4 linked regions of the Drosophila melanogaster genome follow. The protein of the gene in region 1 interacts with the protein of each later gene in a pairwise test. Each region holds a gene or a part of one and is shown on either strand. Other genes may lie near its edges.

Evidence for each region.
Region 2: the proteins of Vti1b (region 1) and PIG-S interact in a two-hybrid assay, tested with the Drosophila melanogaster proteins (one large-scale study listed by BioGRID).
Region 3: the proteins of Vti1b (region 1) and CG1161 interact in a two-hybrid assay, tested with the Drosophila melanogaster proteins (one large-scale study listed by BioGRID).
Region 4: the proteins of Vti1b (region 1) and Stam interact in a two-hybrid assay, tested with the Drosophila melanogaster proteins (one large-scale study listed by BioGRID).

What each region holds. Positions count from the first base shown.
Region 1 is NT_033777.3:18,397,834-18,400,851, reverse strand, and holds Vti1b (vesicle transport through interaction with t-SNAREs 1b), read right to left. Parts: upstream 1,144-3,018; 5' UTR 1,061-1,143; coding exon 902-1,060; intron 842-901; coding exon 632-841; 3' UTR 513-631; downstream 1-512. Other genes in the region: Wdr37 (WD repeat domain 37), read left to right, coding at 1-25.
Region 2 is NT_033777.3:24,912,584-24,919,793, forward strand, and holds PIG-S (phosphatidylinositol glycan anchor biosynthesis class S), read right to left. Parts: upstream 5,282-7,210; 5' UTR 5,181-5,281; coding exon 5,126-5,180; intron 4,927-5,125; coding exon of another isoform or gene 3,371-4,926; exon of another isoform or gene 3,257-3,370; intron 3,153-3,256; coding exon 3,062-3,152; intron 3,004-3,061; coding exon 2,864-3,003; intron 2,808-2,863; coding exon 2,610-2,807; intron 2,549-2,609; exon of another isoform or gene 2,477-2,548; intron 2,323-2,476; exon of another isoform or gene 2,251-2,322; intron 2,118-2,250; coding exon 1,923-2,117; intron 1,862-1,922; coding exon 1,244-1,861; intron 1,103-1,243; exon of another isoform or gene 999-1,102; coding exon 685-998; 3' UTR 633-684; downstream 1-632. Other genes in the region: sud1 (sudestada1), read right to left, coding at 3,371-4,926, 5,126-5,180; CG11168 (uncharacterized protein), read left to right, coding at 6,069-6,172, 6,234-7,000.
Region 3 is NT_033777.3:5,353,075-5,357,346, reverse strand, and holds CG1161 (uncharacterized protein), read right to left. Parts: upstream 2,256-4,272; 5' UTR 2,163-2,255; coding exon 2,094-2,162; intron 2,021-2,093; coding exon 1,797-2,020; intron 1,514-1,796; coding exon 1,405-1,513; intron 1,345-1,404; coding exon 1,219-1,344; coding exon of another isoform or gene 1,081-1,218; exon of another isoform or gene 923-1,080; coding exon 767-922; 3' UTR 599-766; downstream 1-598. Other genes in the region: Prosbeta7 (proteasome beta7 subunit), read left to right, coding at 64-216; CG11999 (uncharacterized protein), read left to right, coding at 2,726-2,786, 2,914-3,503.
Region 4 is NT_033779.5:10,856,622-10,862,735, reverse strand, and holds Stam (signal transducing adaptor molecule), read right to left. Parts: upstream 4,201-6,114; 5' UTR 3,902-4,200; coding exon 3,859-3,901; intron 3,367-3,858; coding exon 3,089-3,366; intron 3,030-3,088; coding exon 1,826-3,029; intron 1,760-1,825; coding exon 1,215-1,759; 3' UTR 730-1,214; downstream 1-729. Other genes in the region: aurB (aurora B), read left to right, coding at 4,759-4,892, 4,948-5,665, 5,726-5,863.

The sequences.
Region 1 (3,018 bases):
CATCGTTCTTCCGAAGGACAATTGAAGGCAACTGAAGCGGAGAGCTGCTGCACCAAAGGAATGAGGAGGCGCAGCTCTGCGAAATCCCAAACATCTCTCGAACAAAGAAGCATCCCCAAAGCGATGCCCACATACTTACATATATGTAACCGTTTATCATAGATCAAGTATTATGCAGACATTGTTCAGGATGTTCTACTATCTCGTTGTCGCCCACTGAATGTAATTAACGTTGCTTTTTGCCAAATAGTCGTGGCATAGCGTGCTGCACGAACTACATATTATCATTGTTATAGCATACGTATGTATATGCGTTGGGACTGGGCTAAACTCTTCGGAGTGCAGAGCTTCCGATGTCCAGACCCGATTTTATCTGTGTTTTACTACCATAATACATATTATAGACGTCTAAGGCATTAACGCTTTAGCCAACATGAATAAACATAATCAACCACCCGATTCATCGCTGGGTATATCCTAAAACTGACCTTTTTGAATTGGAAGTGCATTTTAGTGGAGTATATACATTTATAAGCTTATTAACTAGGACAAAGAATTCGTAACGATTAATAGGTATATATAGTCCATCGCCTGTTTGGTGGTTACGACTTTGGAATAGAATGGCATTGGCTCACAGGTGAGCGAACTTCAGCACCAGCAAGCCGACGAGTATGCCCACCTCCAGAATGATAATCAGGATTAGGATGATCTTGTTGTAGAGCACCTCCCTGCTCAACTTCCGAATGATGACCCTCGATTTGGACAGATCCTGATCGGCGTCCTCCAGGCGGCGCGTGGTGCGTAGCAGCGACTCCCTCTGCTCGCCCAGTTCGCCGAGTACCTGTTGATGCGTAAGCGAGCATTAGTTAGCCCTGTTAATGGCTACTATCTGGGTAATTACCTCCGCCCCCATGTTCTCCGTTTCGATGGCAATCTGGTTGGATCGCTGGATACTGTCCGTCGTCCGCTGTAGCACGTCGTAGGTGCTGGCCGCGAGCTGCGCCTGCCTGCGCTCCTGGTCGCTGCCGCTGGGCAGCTGGCTATAGCCGGCGTAGGACATAATTTGGTAACAGCTTTTAATAAATTAAATGCGATGCAGTGGGAATATCAAAACAAAACAAAGGCAGAGTGTGGCCGTGGTGAGCGGTGCAGTGAAAACGCTATTTGGTAAGGTACTAACGCGTTGTGCGTGGAGCCACCTGTTAACACTTTATGCACTTTACAGCACTTAAAACAGTTGAAATTTAAAATGAAACTGTTACCAAATTAGCTTAATATTATTTTATATTCTAAATTCTAATTAAAAGTTTAAATTGTAAGAAGTGTTAGTTCAATTGGTTTTTTTTTGAGATTGGCTTCCTCACTATCAACAAGCACATCTAGTTACTGCAAAAATATCACATATTAATGGTGATTAATTGGGTGATCCTAAGAGTGATTAGGTTTTTGGAAACTGACCATTTTTTTGGTAGACACATGTAGCACTCGAGGATTTTGACTTTAGTACGGGTATTTGTCGATTTCTGATTTGCGATAACGGTCACCGATCATACATAGTTGGCATGCCCGCGCCGAGAGAGCCGCCTGAATTCACAGGGTGTGTGTGCTGAGTAACAGAGAGTGCGAGGCATTTCGAGGCGATCGCGAGATTTTCGAACCGAAGTCGCGGCAGCGAGTGCCAAATTTAAACGCAGTCGATCGCTGGCGGTGAGCAGACGTGTGCTGCGCTCCATTCAGATTCAGATTCGAATAAAGATACTCTCGCTCGGCAACAAACAAGTTCTAAATTTATCGCTCGCACTCGCGGGGAATCGAATCTGGTGTGTCTTTGACATAAAAAGCGTTTTCGGAGCTGTGAAGGTAAGCGAAAAACTCGAAAAAACTCGAAGCAACTGGAAAAACCCGGCGGGTTCGAGGTGTAAAAGCTGTGCCACGGGTTATCCACCCGTATATATCCCATATCCCCTGTAAACTAGCCATCCAAAGCACGTGCTTTGGCAGCAGGGAGTATGTGCAATTAAGCCCAATTTGAATGCACTTTGGCACGTGATGCTGGCTGCTGACAGCTACTGGTCGGAAAAGTGAGCTTACTGGGGGCTGCGGGGCACACCTGTCATGGGACCCATTGTGCAAACACCTGCCAGAAGTCGCAGCTAAAGTCAGAGCGGCAGATACGCGTAGCGCTATCTCTTTCGTAAGCCCCGAGTATCTCTGAGATACTCAGGTACGCACCTACTACGTTCGCAGTGTGTGTGTGTGTTAGTCGAACCCTTGTCATGTGAATATAATACTCTCCAGAGTATCTGTGAGTCGCGCTCTCTTTGCAAAGTCGCGAGTTTTCGAGTTTTATGCAATCATCATAATCATATGGGGGGGTTCTATCATGTGATCTTTTTCTCGGGGTCTCGGTTTCCAGAAGCCTTGCGTCCCCACAAAGATCTCCAGCTGGAACGGAAACCCTAAAAGCTGGGCTCGAGTAGTTGCGAATAGCGCACAATAAATACCAGTCGATTATGATTTATGGATCGCTCTATAAATTGTCCAATGGCACTTCCAATCGATCAATCAGTATTGCGCTGATTAGCCACAGTCGCAGACCCAGTTTATGAATGGGGAAAATCTGATCGATTCTAGAAATCTAGCAATTTCACATCTGAAGTATAGTATTTTGCCGAGTTGCACACAAGTGCTCCTGGTCGATCGTCCAGTTAATTAGCTATATAAAGCCAAAGCCCGGCCACTCGAGTCGCCGATCTCCAGTTACGTAACTCTATATGTATGGCTTATCGGGGAAGTGGTCGGCAAACACTGCAAATAATGCTGACTTTGATGGCTTATTTTTCTGTATTCAATAGTATTGCGTAAAGAGGCTATTTATAAGGAGTTGATACTAGCCGATTTATTAGCTGGCTCCTGTTTTACAGCTCTATATAATTTTGAATTCCCCCCATTAGTTCGATAATATATGAGCATAATCATCTTTGTGACGCAATGAAACGGTTTCTTCGCACAGAAGCA
Region 2 (7,210 bases), 6.5 Mb from region 1:
TTTCAAATTAACAATAAATTTAAGGAGGTAAACAGAAAAACCATTAAATTCTACCTATTGATCACTAACTAATGAAAATGATGAGCTAATAGAATAAGCATTCCTTTAAGCAAGTAATTATAATCGGTAAGTGATATTTTGAAATCAGTCGGAAACAAGACTTATTGGCAATATATGACTCACCCACCGACTGCGTGTCTGGCTGGCCTCCTGCCACGTCTGACATTCATCCGGCAGCGATCTCGCCGCTGAACCTGACCTATACGCGCCGTTCACACGCTGAGCGGACCGTGCTGGTCCGCCAGCAGCCAAGGCATCAAAATACAGCACTCCCAACGTTGAAAACTTTGGGAAAGATTAGTGGCACGTGGACTTGTTTTCAAAGCATTCAACTCTCTATGACAGATCAAAATTTTTGAGTTTTAAATCCATTTCCACCAGGTTTCTTTAAGATCTCATAGACCAAAATGTTGGCACGAATAATTTCTACCTACTTGTTATGCGCGGCAGTCTACAGTTTGAATATGCTGGAATACTATAGAACTGGCAAATCTAATCGACCGCGAGGCCCTGACGATGACATGTTCTACGTAAAACCGAAGTGAACCAATAAATCGCACCAGTAACAGCTTATAAAGAAAATATTGTTTTAATGAGGGATGATACTATTTGGTTATGGTTCGTTTACGACTGCTTCTCCTTCCGTCTGGCCTGCAGCACACCACGCAGCATGTTGAAGGAACTCAGTACAGGCACCATGATGGGCAAGAAGAGTGGAATGTAGATGGCGTACTTCTGCTCGTCCGGGAAGTACAACTGCGCCAGCAGGCTGGCGTCAAAGAATCCGCGCTCCGAGGCCACGAACGCACGCTTGGCCAGCACCGAAGCGTCCGCCAGTCGGTGCTCCAAAAGAGCAGCCTTGGCAGCCAAGATGTCGGCATAGGAATTTGTAATGGCGGCACCCACCTCGTCGTCTATCACAATGTAGCTGATTTGATCTAAACGAGAGGAGGAAGCGATTATTAAATAATATTGTCCAATTAAGGTGGTTATTAAACTTCTCAAGCAGTACAGATTCAATAAAAATAGCGTCAACCATTTTAAAAGCTACTTAATTATAAAGCGGAAATTGCAAATAGTTCATTTTTAATTGTCGAAGAGCCCTGAGTTTTGTATAATATCAGAAATAGGAATAATAAAAATGTTGACTAAACATCCTTCATTGGTATCTTTAAAAACGTACCCAACAGTTTGATGAGGCTCTGGAGCGTGCTGCTTGCTGTGGATATGTGTCGAATGGCACTGCGTCTTAGGTATGCTTCATACTCCCAGCGACGTGGCTCCAGTTGCTCGATATCCACCACCTTAACGCCCTCCATCTGAAGCTCACTGCTGATGTCGAGCAGCTTGTGCAGCTGGTCCAGCATCACCTGCATGTTGTCCGTGGTGCTGACATGGTAGGGAACTGCCTCCTGATCGCTCATGGCCGCAAGGCACACATGCTCTGGCGGATTAGCAATGATGAAGCCACCCCAGGGTGGCGAAATGAAGGCATCCACGTCGTTCCGCGTCAGCCGCTGATCCTTGCTGTTGTAGATGTGAAGCGGAGCGATGTGGCACGGTGGAATGTACACCACCAGGTTGATGGCCGGCTTGTCGGTGGTGCTGGCGCTTAGATTCTGGGCAATCGATGTCAGCAGATGAGGCAGAGCGGTTTCCTGGAGGGCGTAGTGTCGCCCCAATTTGCTCTGGTCGCGCACCTGCTTGAGATCAGCCTCGATGGCCACCCGGTACTTCCACTGCGATCGCACCGTGTAATTGGAAACACCGGACACCTTAGCCAACCAGGGCTCAATGTAAGCTATTGAAAATGTAAATTGGCATAAGTAAGTGAAGACTTTTTGTGGTTTTTCAATACTTACTCTTCACAGCCATTGCTATGTTCCACTTGGCATGGGTGAGTCTCGGTTTCGGATTCAGGACAGAGACAATCACATCGTAGGCTGGTTGCGGAGCTTCCGACTTGGCGCCCATCCGCTCATCGGTACTTAAAATTTGATTTATGCGATACGTCTGCAGGATCTTGGCGTGCAGGAGCTGGGCGATTTTGTTGGAAGCTAGGAGGTGTTAAAACAGCATTATTAGTTTAGCTAACTAATCTTTAATTTACTAGAGTAATTTTAGCTTAGTCCTTGAAATTTTAAGGAAAGGGTTTCATTGGGCATTAAAAGTATTCGAAAGCATTCGTAATCCTCGATAGTATAGTGGTTAGTATCCCCGCCTGTCACGCGGGAGACCGGGGTTCAATTCCCCGTCGGGGAGACCGATAAAATATATATTTCTTTTTAAAACCGCATTATCATGTAAATAATAAATTATGCGCTATACTTCTACTTTTAGAATTATTTCAATAATAGAAGGTGAAGTAACAGACAATAAAAGATTTGAAAAAAAAAAAAAAATGAAAATCTCATTTCTCCCAGACGGGGAATTGAACCCCGGTCTCCCGCGTGACAGGCGGGGATACTAACCACTATACTATCGAGGACCTTAAAAACTTCGGACATAAAAAGCCAACAAGTGTTTCCGTATCATTGCAATAGACTCACGTGTATCACTTCGCATCAGTGCCGATCTTTCGGTGGTTAGTAGCAGCTCCTCCTGCAGTTTGGGCCACTCGATGAACATGAAGTCGCCAACGCTCTGGACATGGTTCTCCAGCAACAGCTTCTCCAGAGCAGCTGGCGTGTGTGCTTCCTGGGTCATTGGCGTAGGAGATAGCTGCTTGAATTCCACAGACCATATTTCTAATGGGAAATGCATGCCGTTTAGAAATATGAATGGATAATGAATTTGCACCTACCATTGTCGCTGAAGGCGTTCTGCAGTTCGGCGATGAGCAACTGGCCACGACTGGTCTGTTGTGTGTAGATGGCCACCTGCACAGCCGTTTTGATCGGAATTTTACTCAGACTCAAAATTTCCGTCGAGGGCAAATTGACTCTGCGATTGCAACATTTAGGTATAATTGGAAAAACGCCGCCAGACATGGTTGACTCACCTGTAGACTGTGGTGGTGCGCCACCACATGGGCACGCCAATTCCAATGATGACCACGATAAATGCTAGTGTAGCCCCGATCCGGAACTTATCTGTAAAGTTAAAGAGAAGTGTTTGATTAGTTCCTGATTTATCGCGGTCGTAAGCGTTCTTTGGGTTCACACTTTATTACTTCGACAAAAAACTATAATATTTTGATTTGTGTTTTATAAAGTTTATTATGTAAATTAGTTTCTGTACAGGAGAACGGTATGAATGTTAATAGTCCTTGACGAGTAATTGTGCGCATGTTGTGAAACAGGATCACATGCTACTCCTTGTAGCTGCACGAAATAACAAAAACAGGTCCCTTTTCAAGGGGCGTGTTGCGCGACACGTATTTGGTGAACTTGGTGGTGCCCTCGCACCGGTATACTATGTTCAGGGCGTTGTCCACCGGCGTGATAGTAAGCAGAACGGAATCGTCCTCTTCCTCGTCATCGTAGTCCGATCGCCTTCCGTCCGTCGGTGCTTTTGCTGTTGGCATTTCGGCGTCGGGTGCGAGGTATGTGATCACCGCTGCTCCTTCTGCCGCGTTCAGGTAGTAAACCAGGTCCAAAGTGTTCTCCTCGCTGGTCAAACCGTCGCCCAGCACTGTGTAGTTGCCGTGGGACCAGCGCTGCAGTTCCACGCTGCATGTTGGACTTTCGGCATCGGTGCCTGCCAAATCCAGATCGGTGAAATCTCGCAGCAAATCAAACATGGCGTGGCTACGGAACAGTTGCAGTAGTTCCAGTATGGTGCCTCTGGCTGTTGTCAAATCCAGCACTTCATAGTTGTGTGCGTTTGCGGGTCCCTGTCTTCGCCACTTCAAGGTATCCGAATCGGCCAACAGCTGCGACCGGGCCAATTCGAATTTCTCTCGCTTGAAGAACTCGTATAAACAAATCTCGGAGTTTTCTTCGATCCGCTTTTGGATGCTCCGGCGGGTGGCCCCCTTTAGATACACGTTGTTTAGAAACAGGCCAAGCGGTGGCCTATTAAGGCCATCAGGTTGCAGGTAATTCAGGCGGGGAAAGGCGCGCAGGGAGTCGGCCACGAAGGCCTCATTGGTATCGCCGTGGAACCATCCGTTTATGGTAAGACGCGGGTAGTCGAATGTAGTAACCTCGCCTACTTGGTGGAAGGAGCGCGAGCCCACCTTGAAGAAGGCAAACTGGTTGTCTTTGGGGGCGATCTTTCGCTGCACTGGAAACTGTGGAAAGCACTGATCGTCGCTACCGAAGATCTCTAGGCATCCGCCCTGCTCATCCGTCCATTCCTCCGCTCCTTCCCAAGGCGATAGATAGTAAATGAAGGCCACTTGTCGGTCCTTAAGCAGATCGTCGTGCACGAGCAGATAGTCGCCGCAGGTGTACATGCTGCAGGAGGCGGACACATAGTCCAGCTTGAGGTTGGTAACCTTCTCCAGCCAGGGACGCACTTGTTTGCGCAGCACCTGCAGGAAGTTGGTCAACAGTCGGCAAGCGGGCATGTTGGAGAGGTCGGCGCTCTGGTAGAACTCATACAAATCCATCTGTTTGCGCGACCACTGCACCTTCTGGATGATCTCGGCGACCAGCGCCTGGCTTTGGCCCTTCTCCAGCATGCCGGGCAGAAGGCAGATTTGAAAGGGATCCGAGAAGACCTGAGCACCGGTTTGCGTCTCCTTGGTCCCTTGGCTCTTCTCCTCCGTCCAGGCTGTTTGGAGCCACTTGGTAAGTTCCGGTTGCTGATACGCCTCGTTCAGGAGCACTTCGTTCGTTTCAAGGATGTCGCCCAGGCGCAAAAGCTTCCTGTGCGGCTCGCCCACCTGATCTGCGGAATCCTCCTGCTCTGCACGACCATCTGCAAGGGCAACATAGTGAATGGGTTTGCATTAAGCGAGGCAAACAGGGGCATACCTTAAACTTTAATTTGGCTATTTTTTACGCACACCAGCACTCACACACGCGTTATCAAAGGCAAAGGCAAAATCAAAGGCACCGATGTGCCGGCACACCTCGCTTTATCGTTTTGGGGCAGATTTCTCACTGTTTCCACTTACCTTCGTCCTTGTCTTTTCTCCTGGGCTTTACTGGACTGGAGCTCGAGGTTTCCATGATGCTGTGAGTCAAATTTTCGGTTAAAAACGTGAATTTTTGCCAGGGAAAATAAAAAAATTGGCTTGTGCAGCTAGAGATGGTAGCTCGGAAATATCGGTTGTTCTGTGCAAGTGTTGGGTAGTTAGCTTATTCCACGCAGTATCAAATACCTAGCTAAAGTTTAGTAGCTAAAAACTTTTGGCATTATATTGTAAACAATAAAGGGCGTATATAAGTAATAATATATAATATAATAATATATTGAAGGCATTCAGCATTAGCATTCAACTCACTAATCACACTTTCATTTTATACTGATCATCACTGATTGTACGTGAGTGTCGTGTGTTTCGTCGTCGCCTCACGCCTCCATCCCTAGCCAATTAGTAACGAACAATTGCTCGATCGGCTCCACGTAAATAAAGTTTAGATCACAGCTTTGTTGATTGCTTATCGCGGTGGCAAATATAGTTATTCGTTTATGGCTGTAAACTTTCGAAACGGACGTGGACATAGCCGGTAAATTAAAACTTGAAGATAAAACCTAGCTGGTGACAAAGAAATTCCAATTGGAGCAGTCCAATGCCGTGGAATGACCTTGGAAGAGGCGGAGCCACCATTCAGCCCTCCATATTATAAACAAAAATACTATTGTGGAATGTTCACAGCTATTTTGTATAAAAAAAATATTTGGCTATCAGTCTGTGCGTGCTAGGGCCAAACAGCTGATTCCGCCTGGCTGCCACCTGATTTGTTGGGGGTGTGAGTGGGGCTGGGGCTGTGGTATTCTGTATGCTCGCGATGATCTCATTGTGTTGGAATCGGAGCAAAAGCTAAACTAAACAACTTGACATGTGTTCTTCTGCTCCTGTGTAGCTACCTAGTGTTGGAGGATACGGAGGAGCAATGGGCAAGGATCAGCATTTGCTGGAGGCTTCGCGAGCCGGCGACATCAAGACGGTGGACAAACTGCTGGAGCACTCGAGCAAACGACATGGCCCGCTGTCCAGGTGAGTCACCAGCAGCAACTGTTGTTATTCCAGGTAGTTTACTACAGGTTTTCCTTTACAGTTTTAGGCGAAGTCCCAGCATCAACTGCCAGGACATGAATGGCTACACTTCGCTGCATCACGCCTGTCTAAATGGGCATAGCAACATTGTACGGCTACTACTCTCCCACAACGCGCTGTTGGATGTGCCTGATATACGTGGCTCGACACCTTTATTTCTGGCTGCCTGGGCTGGGCACCAGGACATCGTCAAGATGCTGTTGATGCACTCGCCTACGGGAGCCAATCCGAATGCCCAGACTATCGAAAACGAGACGCCGCTGCACTCAGGCGCCCAACATGGCCACAATGCCGTGGTGGCCATTTTGCTGTCCTATGGCGCCGATCCTGCCATACGCAACAATAGCTTTCAAACGGCTCTGGATTTGGCAGCGCAATTCGGACGCCTTCAGGTGGTTCAGACCTTGCTCCGTGTTTATCCCGACCTCATATTGCCGTATAAGCGTTTGGAAGATGACAATGAAGAGCTGCTGGGCTGCATGCCCATAAAGCACATATTCACGCACACCTGCCTGCACCTGGCCAGCAGGAATGGGCACAAGAAGGTGGTGGAAACACTGCTGGCGGCCGGCGTCGATGTCAACATACTCACCAACGCTGGAAGCGCTCTCCACGAGGCGGCTCTCTGTGGCAAAAAGTCCGTTGTGGTCACTCTGCTTAAGGCCGGTATCTACGTACACGCCACCGATGGAAACGGACGCACAGCCCTGGACATACTCTCCGATTATCCGCCGCATGTGACCTACGACATTGTGGGCGCCATAAACGGTGCGTACGAGTAAGAAGTAGAAGAAATACAATAAAGGGGCTATGGGTAGTGGCTGGAAATGCTTATCTTTACTGATATCTAAAGTTAATACAGCTCTTCATAAAGCTTTGTAATTCAAAACATTTATTTACTCTATTTGTAATAAATGTTACACCCTATTTATTGAAGGCAACCAAATAAGATCGAAATTATTTTATTGCTAATATAAA
Region 3 (4,272 bases), about 13 Mb from region 1:
TTTCGAACTCTGATGGGGGGACTCTTCATTATTTAACTACCCTACCATTTTCTTATATTCTAGATCCGCACATGCATGGAGGTGCTTTACTACCGCGATACTCGTAATATTTCCCAATACACTGTGGGCGTGTGCAGCGTCAACGGATGCGGCGTGGAGGGGCCCTTCCAAGTTAACGAAAACTGGACATTCGCCGAAACCATAAAGGGATACTAGAGCCTCCGATTCTGAATGAACTTAGTTTAGGTCTAGCTCGGCGGTTTTGCATTAAAAAAAAACACTTGTCTAAGGATATGTGGTTACATGATTTATTAAAAATAAATGTGGCTGAAAATAATACGTTTAAAGTTATGGTTATTGTGTGATAGAAACTATCTTCGAGTTATTCTTTCGTTAATCTCTACTGATGGAATCAAAAAGTAGGCGTCAAACTAAGAAGCCCAAGGGAGTTTCCAAATCTAACTTGGACTCACCATTACGGTCTTACGTTCCTTATTTTCCCAAATTATAACCATCAATTATCATTAAAAGTTTTATTTTAGTGGATTTGTTGGTTATTCCTCCCGGCATTCAACTTATTAATTAATATGCAAACACTCCTGACAAACATATTTTGGTTTATTTTAATTAACATAAAATCTGGCTAAATATACAGATAATCAATTTGATCCAAAGGGGAATTTCGCAAAGGATAACTGCTTGGAATACGTGTCTTAAGTCGCCCATGCGCCTCCTAATCTCCGCCAGCTGCAAACCGAACCCCTTGTTAGTTTAGCATGGTATGCCTGTCGTAGATGTGGCGTCTCTGCTCGCGCACCTGCCGCTTCCACTTGTCCTGCTGGTGGCCCACACGATTGAGGACATTGGCTCTGGCACTGAGCTCCTGGTTGTTGACGGCTGGCAGGGGCGGCGTTGGTTCATCCTGGTTAGAAAAGGGTGGAAAAATGTGGAATTAGTCGAGGTGATCCAAGATCTGGCCGTGTTAGTTACTGTCTTAATGAAGTGACGGTGTGGGTTAGAAAGTCAACAAAATCTATAACGCAAAATGAAACAAAGGTGGTTGTGGAAATTAAAATCTATTCAAAAGAGTGGTGCTTCTTTATTGCCAACTAGTTGAGCCGCTTCGGCATCAACATCGTCATCTTCATCATCTTCGCCTTGGGCTGTAACTAGGAGGCTATACTGAATGCCCTTGTATCTAGAAAGCTTGTTATGTACATCTTCGTTGGTGTGCTCCTGGTAGTTCGCCTTCACTCGCTTGTTCAGCAACGGGTCCAGGCACATCAGGAAGAGCATGTATATTACTAAAATGGAGATGATCCAAATCACAATAATGACCACGACCTGGATGGGGGAGAGAGCTGGTTAAGTACGGACGGCTTTTGAGCACTCGAATTGACTCACCTTTATCAGCGTCGTATTTCTCGCCACATGGGAGCACTTGCACTCGGCGCATATGGGCAGCTCCTTGCCATTGGCATCCAAACGGGGCAGCAGGGCACCGGCACAGACGCTGAAATGGTAACGTGTAGCAGGTTGTTAAGAACTCCAACCTAACAGAATCACAAATTAAGCTCATTGATACCAAGATGCCTTATACATTTAGTAGCTGAAAAGTGAATACATTTGTGCAATACATGAACTATGATTCTTTGAAGCCTACGCAAACAACGTAAATTGAATTTAAAGTAGTAGAATCCAGTGGGACGAAAGGGATTGCAGCTTTAAAACTGCTCAAATGGACTAGACTTTAAGTTTCCAGATGCGGCAATTTCTGCCAGTGCAGTGCCACTTACCACTCAGTTGTGCTGCTGGAATTGGAAGAATTTTTGCCTGGAGCAGCGAGCACAGGCTGGCCGATGACCTTGGCCGGAGGGGCGGCAGTGGGAGCTGAAACTTGCTTGGCTAGTGGAGCTGCAGCCGCTGGAGCTGCAGGTGCAGGCACAGGAGCAGGTTGAGCATTGCTGTTGTTGTTGCTGTTGGTGCCGATCGCTGGGAATGTCTGCGCCGCAGTCTCAGCCTTTGTTGATTGTTTGAGGGGGAAATGAAAGCGGATTAGTGGGGCAGTCACGGGATGTGGCCAGTCATCATACCCATGTCACGCCAACCAAATAACATATCACCAGTAGCACCGCGTAGACGAACAGGCGCTTGTGTGCCATTAATTTTTCTTTAATTTCAATTTTCCTCAGTTTTCTTGCCTTTTATTGGAGAAAATTCCCTTGCAATTTCGCAGAGTGACCGTACTTGTCTGGTGCACAGAAAATACCAACAAATTGTCGCTCATCGAACTAGTTCCTTTTGGTGCAATTAGTTTTTAGGCTAATTATTAATAACTAATTATTTCCTTCACGATATAACGTTCATTTAATTCTAAAACAATCAAGAAATAAGTTTCTAGGCGTATCAATAAATCTGTGACGTCAAATTCGTAATCTGCTCTCTGAAAAGACTAATTATATTTTTCCTTTATTCAACATTTATTATATACATTAAGCTATTTTCCGTTAATGGAATAAGTTACAGCAATATGGAGTTTGTTATAGTATTATGTTTATTTTTTTCGGTGAGTCCATAATTTGGATTTTACCGCAGCCTGGTCACACCAGCACCGTCAAAAATAGCAATTGTTTGCGTGTGCAACGCTGATTTCAACCGTAATTGCCGGTACAGATTGACTGACTTAGGTCCACGGACTAGGATACGATAACTAGAACAGGACACGATGCAGCACATACTACTTCTTACAGGACTGGCGCTGGTAGGCAGCATTTCCAGGGGAGCCGGTAAGTGGCGACCTGAAACAAAGTCGCGTCTATGTGGTCTTCTCTGATTGGCCGCCCCTCTTTCTGAACCTTCCGTGGCCATAGTTAATGCTTATCTTATATTCTATCTTGACCCTGCTGAACACAGCCACCGAATCCAACGTGGTCACCTGCGGCTCCATCCTGAAGCTGCTCAACTCGGACTACGCCTTCCGCCTGCACTCCCACGACGTCAAGTACGGATCTGGTTCCGGGCAGCAGTCGGTGACGGGCGTGGAGCAGAAGGAGGACGTGAACAGCCACTGGGTGATCAAGGCGCAGACCGGCGAGCTTTGTGAAAGGGGCGAGCCCATCGCCTGCGGATCCACCGTGCGACTGGAGCACCTGTCCACCAAGAAGAACCTGCACTCGCACCACTTTTCGTCGCCGCTCTCAGGCGAGCAGGAGGTGTCCGCGTACGGAACGGATGGACTCGGCGACACCGGCGACCACTGGGAGGTGGTCTGCTCCAACGAGAACTGGATGCGCAGTGCCCACGTTAGGCTGCGCCACATCGACACCGGCATGTACCTGGGCATGTCCGGCCGCTCCTATGGCAGACCCATCTCCGGCCAAATGGAAATCGTTGGCGTCCACAAGCCGCAGCACGGAACGCGCTGGACCACGGCGGAGGGCCTCTTTATCGTGCCCAAGGAGAAGAGCTCAACGCACGACGAGTACGCCCACTCGGAGCTGTAGTGCTCCCTAAGGACCTCGACTGCTGCAGTTTCATACTACTATTAGTTCTGTAATTTATAACTTAGTTGAATTTTTATTGAAGACCCCAAAAGCAAACCATCAAATTAAAATTATTTAAACTCAGGGTACTTCGAAACTTTCAGATTGCTTTCATCGAAAGTTATGTATTCTATGTATGTATTATGTATTCTATCTAGAAAGTGCCTTGCATAAAGGCAGTCGTAAGAACCACTTAGCTTAAATGCATTGCAACAAATGGGGGCGTCTATAGAGCCCTTTTTAAGGTAGTGAAACCTCAGTTGCAATCTAACTTTTCTAAATTTTTCTAGAACTTTGATTGATTGTCTACTTAGTCAGTTGCAGGCACACAAATGCTTTTTTATTTTTATGTAACCTTTTATATTTTAAACGGGTATTTTGAGGCAATAGTACTCTTTCTGTTGGCATTACTGCAGTTAATACAGATGTATCTATTCCATGTAGTGCTGAAAGACATGCGTAGGTTACCAGGTGCTAATAGCGTGTTCGTGTCACTTTTCTACTACTCATTGATGATTAAGACTGATTGCATTTGGCGGAAAATGTCGATATCTTTGAACTCCAACAGAAGGTATCCCATGCCGGATTGACAGCCCTTTAGCTTGAAGCTAAAGCGGGAAGTATCCTTGCAGATGCAGCCGTAGGGCGTCACTCGCATTTCGCGAAAGGTGCTCCCCATTCCTTCGGATGTTTTTGTTTGCATGCATAAAACAATGGGGCTTATTCCGAC
Region 4 (6,114 bases), on another chromosome or scaffold:
GCTAGACAACACCACCCACAACCACCCACTTGCCAGCCCATAGAAATCAACAATCAGCAAATATTTGCATAGCCTGCTCTCGCCCGTCTCCTGGCTCGTCGTTCTTTCACTCCAGGTGACACTCCGCATTCATTGGCATTTTCTATTTACCAGGCTGAGATACTGTCTGTCTGCCCCGTTTTGACAGTTTATTTCACAGGATATTTGTGCCACCGAATGCCGGATGGAATTTTGCTAAATTGTTGCATGTTTGCCGGATTGCGAGACAGTGGCATGTGGCAAAGCTTGTCTGAATATATTGGAATCTCATCGGAAAAGCGCACTAACACGAGCGGAGGGAGGTATTCTCCGAAAAGGGGATGAGCGCAGTTGAATGGAGCTCTAAGCATGTTAAGTTTAAAAGGGGTGCGAATCCAAAACTCGTGCTGAATTGTTTCAGTTTATAAAGCAATGCAGATTACTCTTTCTGAAGCCTACATAAAGAATTTTACCTTCATGTTTTATAGCATCGATAAGAAAATTTAAATAAATATCATAAAAATAAACAAACAATTCAAGTGAGAAATAAACAAATAATCTGCTTTCTTTATCACTAAAAAAATTTCTAAAAACTTCATCTGATTTCCAAAATTTTCTTGAAAATTATTCCACATCGATTGCTAGTGCTGAAAATATTTGAGAAGGGTAGCCGTAAGCTTTTGACTTGCAATTTTCAAAGACATTGTGTTTACTTAGTATATTTTTATGATTTTAATGAATGTGATTCGTTTCGTTAGATTTATCATAATCCGTACAATAAACATAATACATAATAGTTATCTCCCCTGCACTAAATACAAAGTTATACGTGCTGTTGAATACAGATTATTTATATGGTATATATATCTTTTTCGACTGGTATTGCCTTACTTCCAGAAAAATATATCATTTCGTTGGACCAAATATAAACACAAAAAACGAAAACTCGTAAGGGTATACTTGATATTAATTTGGCTTCTTTCGTTATTTTAAAGGATAGTCGACATATTTGGTTCACTGACAATTGCTCTTCTCAAAATGTACATAGCAGAGATTTGACAACTTCCGTTTCTCGGCAAGTTGGCCAAAACTAACATACTCGATGACATCCTTTTGTCAGAATGAAGACAAAGCTTAAAGTTGCTCGGGCAATTCAAAGCGAACCAAGTGAAGGTCTCTGTTTTAGTGCAGCGGTCTTACCGCTGCTGCTGGTAGATAGGAATGTTGTTCTTGACAGCATCGTTCTGCATGTGATAGCCGGGCGCCCCAACTGGCGGTCCGCCAGCCATGGACATGGCGGCCATCTGCTGATGCAGCTGACTAAACTGATCGTGTGGTGGTGGGTGTTGTTGCTGCTGCTGCTGTGGGGACATGTAGCTCTGCGGGTTGACGACGGCCGGCGATCCGTTCGGTCCATAAAGATTTGGTCCTGGCTGGTATCCCTGTGGTGGCGGTGCCTGCTGATGCTGCGGCGACATGTAAGCGTGCGGAGCCGGTGGCTGCTGCGGCTGCTGGATTTGTGTGACTGCGGGCGGAACTTGGGCGTACTGTGACTGGGGGTCGATGTGGTAGCTGTTCTGGGGATGCTGTGGGGGCTGCTGGCCTTGCTGCTGTGGCGGCTGTTGAGGGTGCTGTGGAAGTGGCTGCTGCTGCTGTTGGGTGGTCACGGGAGTCGGCTGAGTGTAGATTGGCTGGGGCATGGGTGCAGTGCCAGTGGGTTGAGTCAAATGGGCTGGCAGCGCTGGAAAGACGATTGAAAATGTTATTATAGGTAAATATAATAAGTATTTTAATCCTTTGTACTAACAGTTCATCTGTGCGGCATGTCCGTTCTGATAGGGCAGTGGCACCTGCCCCTGCGGTTGACCCAGATAGCCACCAGGAGCTCCAGGTGCCTGAGATGGAGCAGAAGTGGGAGGATTTGGTACGGGGCCATATGGCATCGAGTGCATGCCCGGATAATTTTGGGCCGGTGGGAATCCACCCGCTGCAGGATAACCTGGAGCACCGTACAGAGCGGCACCCGGGAAACCAGCAAGTCCAGGCATAAAGCCGCCAGCAGCGGCGGCAAAATGTCCAGCCGCAGCACGGTCATCCCGCATCAAGGTATGGTACAGATTAATGGCGTCGACGAGGTCGCTGGACAACTGCGTCAGTTGAGCGTGCTTGCGGTCGACGCGTTCCAGCTCGGCATCGATCAGCGGTCCCATCTGATGGACCTCCTGCTCCAGCTGCAGCATTTCGTCGCTGTCCTGCGAGGGATCTTCGGGATTCGCCTCGTGCAGCAAATGCAGCAGCCGGTCGATCTTTGACTCGTCGATCTCCACAGGCTGAGCTGCGGCGGCAGCTGCTGCCGCTTCAGTCTTTTGCTGCAGTGCCGCAGCGGAATCCAACTCTCGTTGCCCGGCTGCGGCGGCCGACTTATGCTGCTGATTGATGTCCAGCCGCTCGGGATCGACGGACAGATCGGCAGTGACAAAGTTCGAGGGGAAGAGACCCTCGCCGCGTTGATTGTATCCCTTCCACCAGTTTGGATCACTATCATCCAGCACATGAATGATCTCGCCGGCAAAGAAGGTCAATTCGTTTTCCTCGGCAGCTTCGAAATCGTACAGAGCTCGAACCTTTCTCGGCTCTGGCGCTGGTGCGGAACTGGCTTCGGCGCTCGGTGCACTCGAGCCGGTTCCAGCGAAAGATGGATACAATGAGGGATAGGCACTGGCGGTGCCGGTACTTGCTACACTCCCAGTCTTTGGACTGCCCTTGTTCTCCTTCAGCGACAATTCGATGGCCTTGGCGATGTCATCCTCTTCCTGCTGGCTGCTGACCACATTCGGATCTTTGGGCAGGGCGGCGGCCTTTTCGGCAACAGTCTTGCTAGTCTTATCGCCAAGATTCTTGAAATCATATCCCTCTTGGCGCAGCTTGGCATAGAGTGCGGGTATCAAGTCGAGCTCTCGATCGTTCTTATAGTCGTTTTCAGCCCAGTTCTTCAGCACTTGGCGCATTTTCTGTGAATCATAATTGGAATTAGAAATGAAATAAGTGAGTTAAAACTGTTTGTACTCACCAGTGAAACCTTTGGCTGTGCTTTGGCCAACAGGCGGCGGAACTCCGTCTCGAAATCCCGTGAAGCCACCTCCAAATGGAGCGGTTTTCCGCAGTTGTTGGACAGGGCGTCCAAAAGCGTAATCGCCTGCATCACCACATGAGGATCGGTGTGGCCCATGCGGCGCATCACCGCCTTCAGGCAATCCTTGGCCAGGCGGGGATTGGTCGTTACCTTGTCGCATACATCCAAAATCAGAGACCAGTTGTCGTTGGTATTAGTTTCGCTGGTGGCCTTTTCTATAAAACAAGAAAGGCATGAACCGCATTAGCTTATCAGTCAAATAGAAATTTATATTCTGAGTCACAGCAAAACAAAGATAAGCTTCTTCGAAAACTGATTGCAGCTAAAGAAAATCAATACAATCGGAAACTAACTAAATTGCATTAAGGGATGGCGAGGGGGTTGGCTGCGTAAACGGAGGGGGTGTGAGGGGCTGCGGGTGCTACGTCACTCAAGGTCAGCGACTGCCATCTAACAACTCCAATAAGAAGTTCAACGAACGACGCAGAGCTGCGCACAGCATCTCACATGACTTTCTTTGTTGTCTGCTCAATCGGGGGATCGGGTTCATAGGGAAAACAGGGGAAAATGGTGTGGTGTGCGGGTTTTTAGACCCCAGATAAGAATAGAAAACTATGAAACGCATATTGGACCGTTGTGCAGTCCAATTGGAACATCGGCTTGTCCAATCGGCCAACACAACAGCTTAACGATAAGTGGTAACTCACCCACGTCGGCGTCGAATGGCGACGACTGCCCAAAGATTCCCATCTTTATGACCAAACCGCTCGCTCGGCTATCTGCCAATAATCTGCGCTGCCCTGGGGTCAATAAATCCAAATCAGTTGATCTTTGTCTGTTTTCCCTATTGTTTTTCCTCTCCAATCGATTTTCGGTGCGTCACGGCGACTGAAAGCACGCTTTTGGTGTACTTCCTCCTGCGTAGACCTTTTCGCTTTTTTCCAAATCTCTTTTGGGCTGCTTATATCTTTTCGATTAGCCTAAAAACTTCCGAATAGCGCTTGCAAATTCGCTTAATTTACGTTTATTGTGTAAAAAATGACTAATGGCGAGTGTGGCCAGATTGCGAATAGTCGGGAAATCCAAAGGATTTTTTGCAGCTCATTTTCAATGGTTAGTTAGAGGTATTCGAGACTTATATTATGCAAAACATTTTTATTTATATATACATATAAATATTATTGATATTGTATATTTAAATAAATTTAGACAACTAATAATATAAATCTATTAAACATCTGATATGATTTGAGCACTGGTAGCTATGGTTTATAATAATTAAACAGTTTTCTATGCCCTTCACTCAAACTATTCTCCTACGGGTGAGAAGCGTATATTATAATAACTATGCACAATATAAGAACAAAACTAGAAGATTAATTTTTATTTAAGAAACATGAAAATATTTTATTATACGTTGACCGAATTTAAAAATACAGTGACTTAACTGCTTCACTGAGAGTCACAGAATAACTCGATTCTAGCATGCGGTCACACTAATCTCAGCATTCGAAAAAAACGCGCAAACAAAAGGGACGCTTATAGAAAATACAACTTAAAATAATTAATTTACTTAAAAATCATAATATTATAAACAAGTCAGCGCCATGACGCTTTCCCGCGCGAAGCACGCCAACCGCAACCACCTGCCGCACCTGCTGGCCAAGGTGCCCGAGGAGCACCAGGAGCCGATCAAGAATATGTGCCTCAAGATGATGTCCCACGACGCATACGGACAGCCGTACGTACAAGCAATAAGCTAATGTATCAATCCGTACTTAATCTGCTCCCTCCAGATACGATTGGAGTCCCCGGGACTTTGAGATGGGCGCCCACTTGGGACGCGGCAAATTTGGACGTGTCTACTTGGCGCGGGAGCGCCACTCGCACTATCTGGTGGCCATGAAGGTGATGTTCAAAGAGGAGCTGCGCAAGGGCTGCGTGCAGCGTCAGGTTCTACGCGAGATCGAGATCCAGTCGCGACTGAAGCACCCGCACATCCTGCGCCTGCTCACTTGGTTCCACGACGAGAGCCGCATCTATCTGGCCCTGGAAATTGCGTCCGAGGGCGAGCTGTTCAAGCACCTGCGTGGCGCACCCAATCATCGATTCGATGAACCGCGGTCTGCGAAGTACACCTACCAAGTGGCGAATGCCCTCAACTACTGTCACCTGAACAACGTGATCCATCGGGATCTGAAGCCGGAGAACATTCTGCTAACCAGCACGGACGACCTTAAGCTGGCCGACTTTGGTTGGTCGGCGCACACGCCGAACAACAAGCGCAGGACTCTGTGCGGCACCCTGGACTATCTGCCGCCGGAGATGGTGGATGGGAACTCCTACGACGACTCGGTGGACCAGTGGTGCCTGGGCATTCTGTGCTACGAGTTCGTCGTCGGCTGTCCGCCCTTCGAGTCGAACAGCACGGAGAGCACCTACAGCAAGATCCGGCGCATGGAGATCTCCTACCCATCGCATTTGTCCAAGGGCTGCAAGGAATTGATTGGCGGGGTGAGTTGGAAGATGTTTCCTTTGAGATCCATTTATTGAACAGGGATTTCATCTTTGCAGCTGCTTCGCAAGGAAAGCAAGGGCCGCATCACCTTGGTGGATGTGATGACCCATTATTGGGTGAAGGCGGGAATGGCCGAAAGGGAGCTGCAGCTGCAGAAACGGGAGCGCGGCAAGGAGAACACGGCCAGAAATTGACTGGTTTCGAGTTTGCATTGTGTAACGACTTATTTCAGATTTTACTTTTATGTTTAATAAACGGTTTATAAGATTTAATGAAGTTTGGAGTATATTTTTGAAATCTGAAAACTGCTTAAAAATAAAAATCTATTGGTAGTAACTTACTTAAATTACCTTTTTCTAATTTAACCCCTTTTAAATTAATTTTTCTAAGCCCATGCCTTACTTAGTTCCAGTTCGTGGGCCATGCTATATTTTCGCGCTTCCCG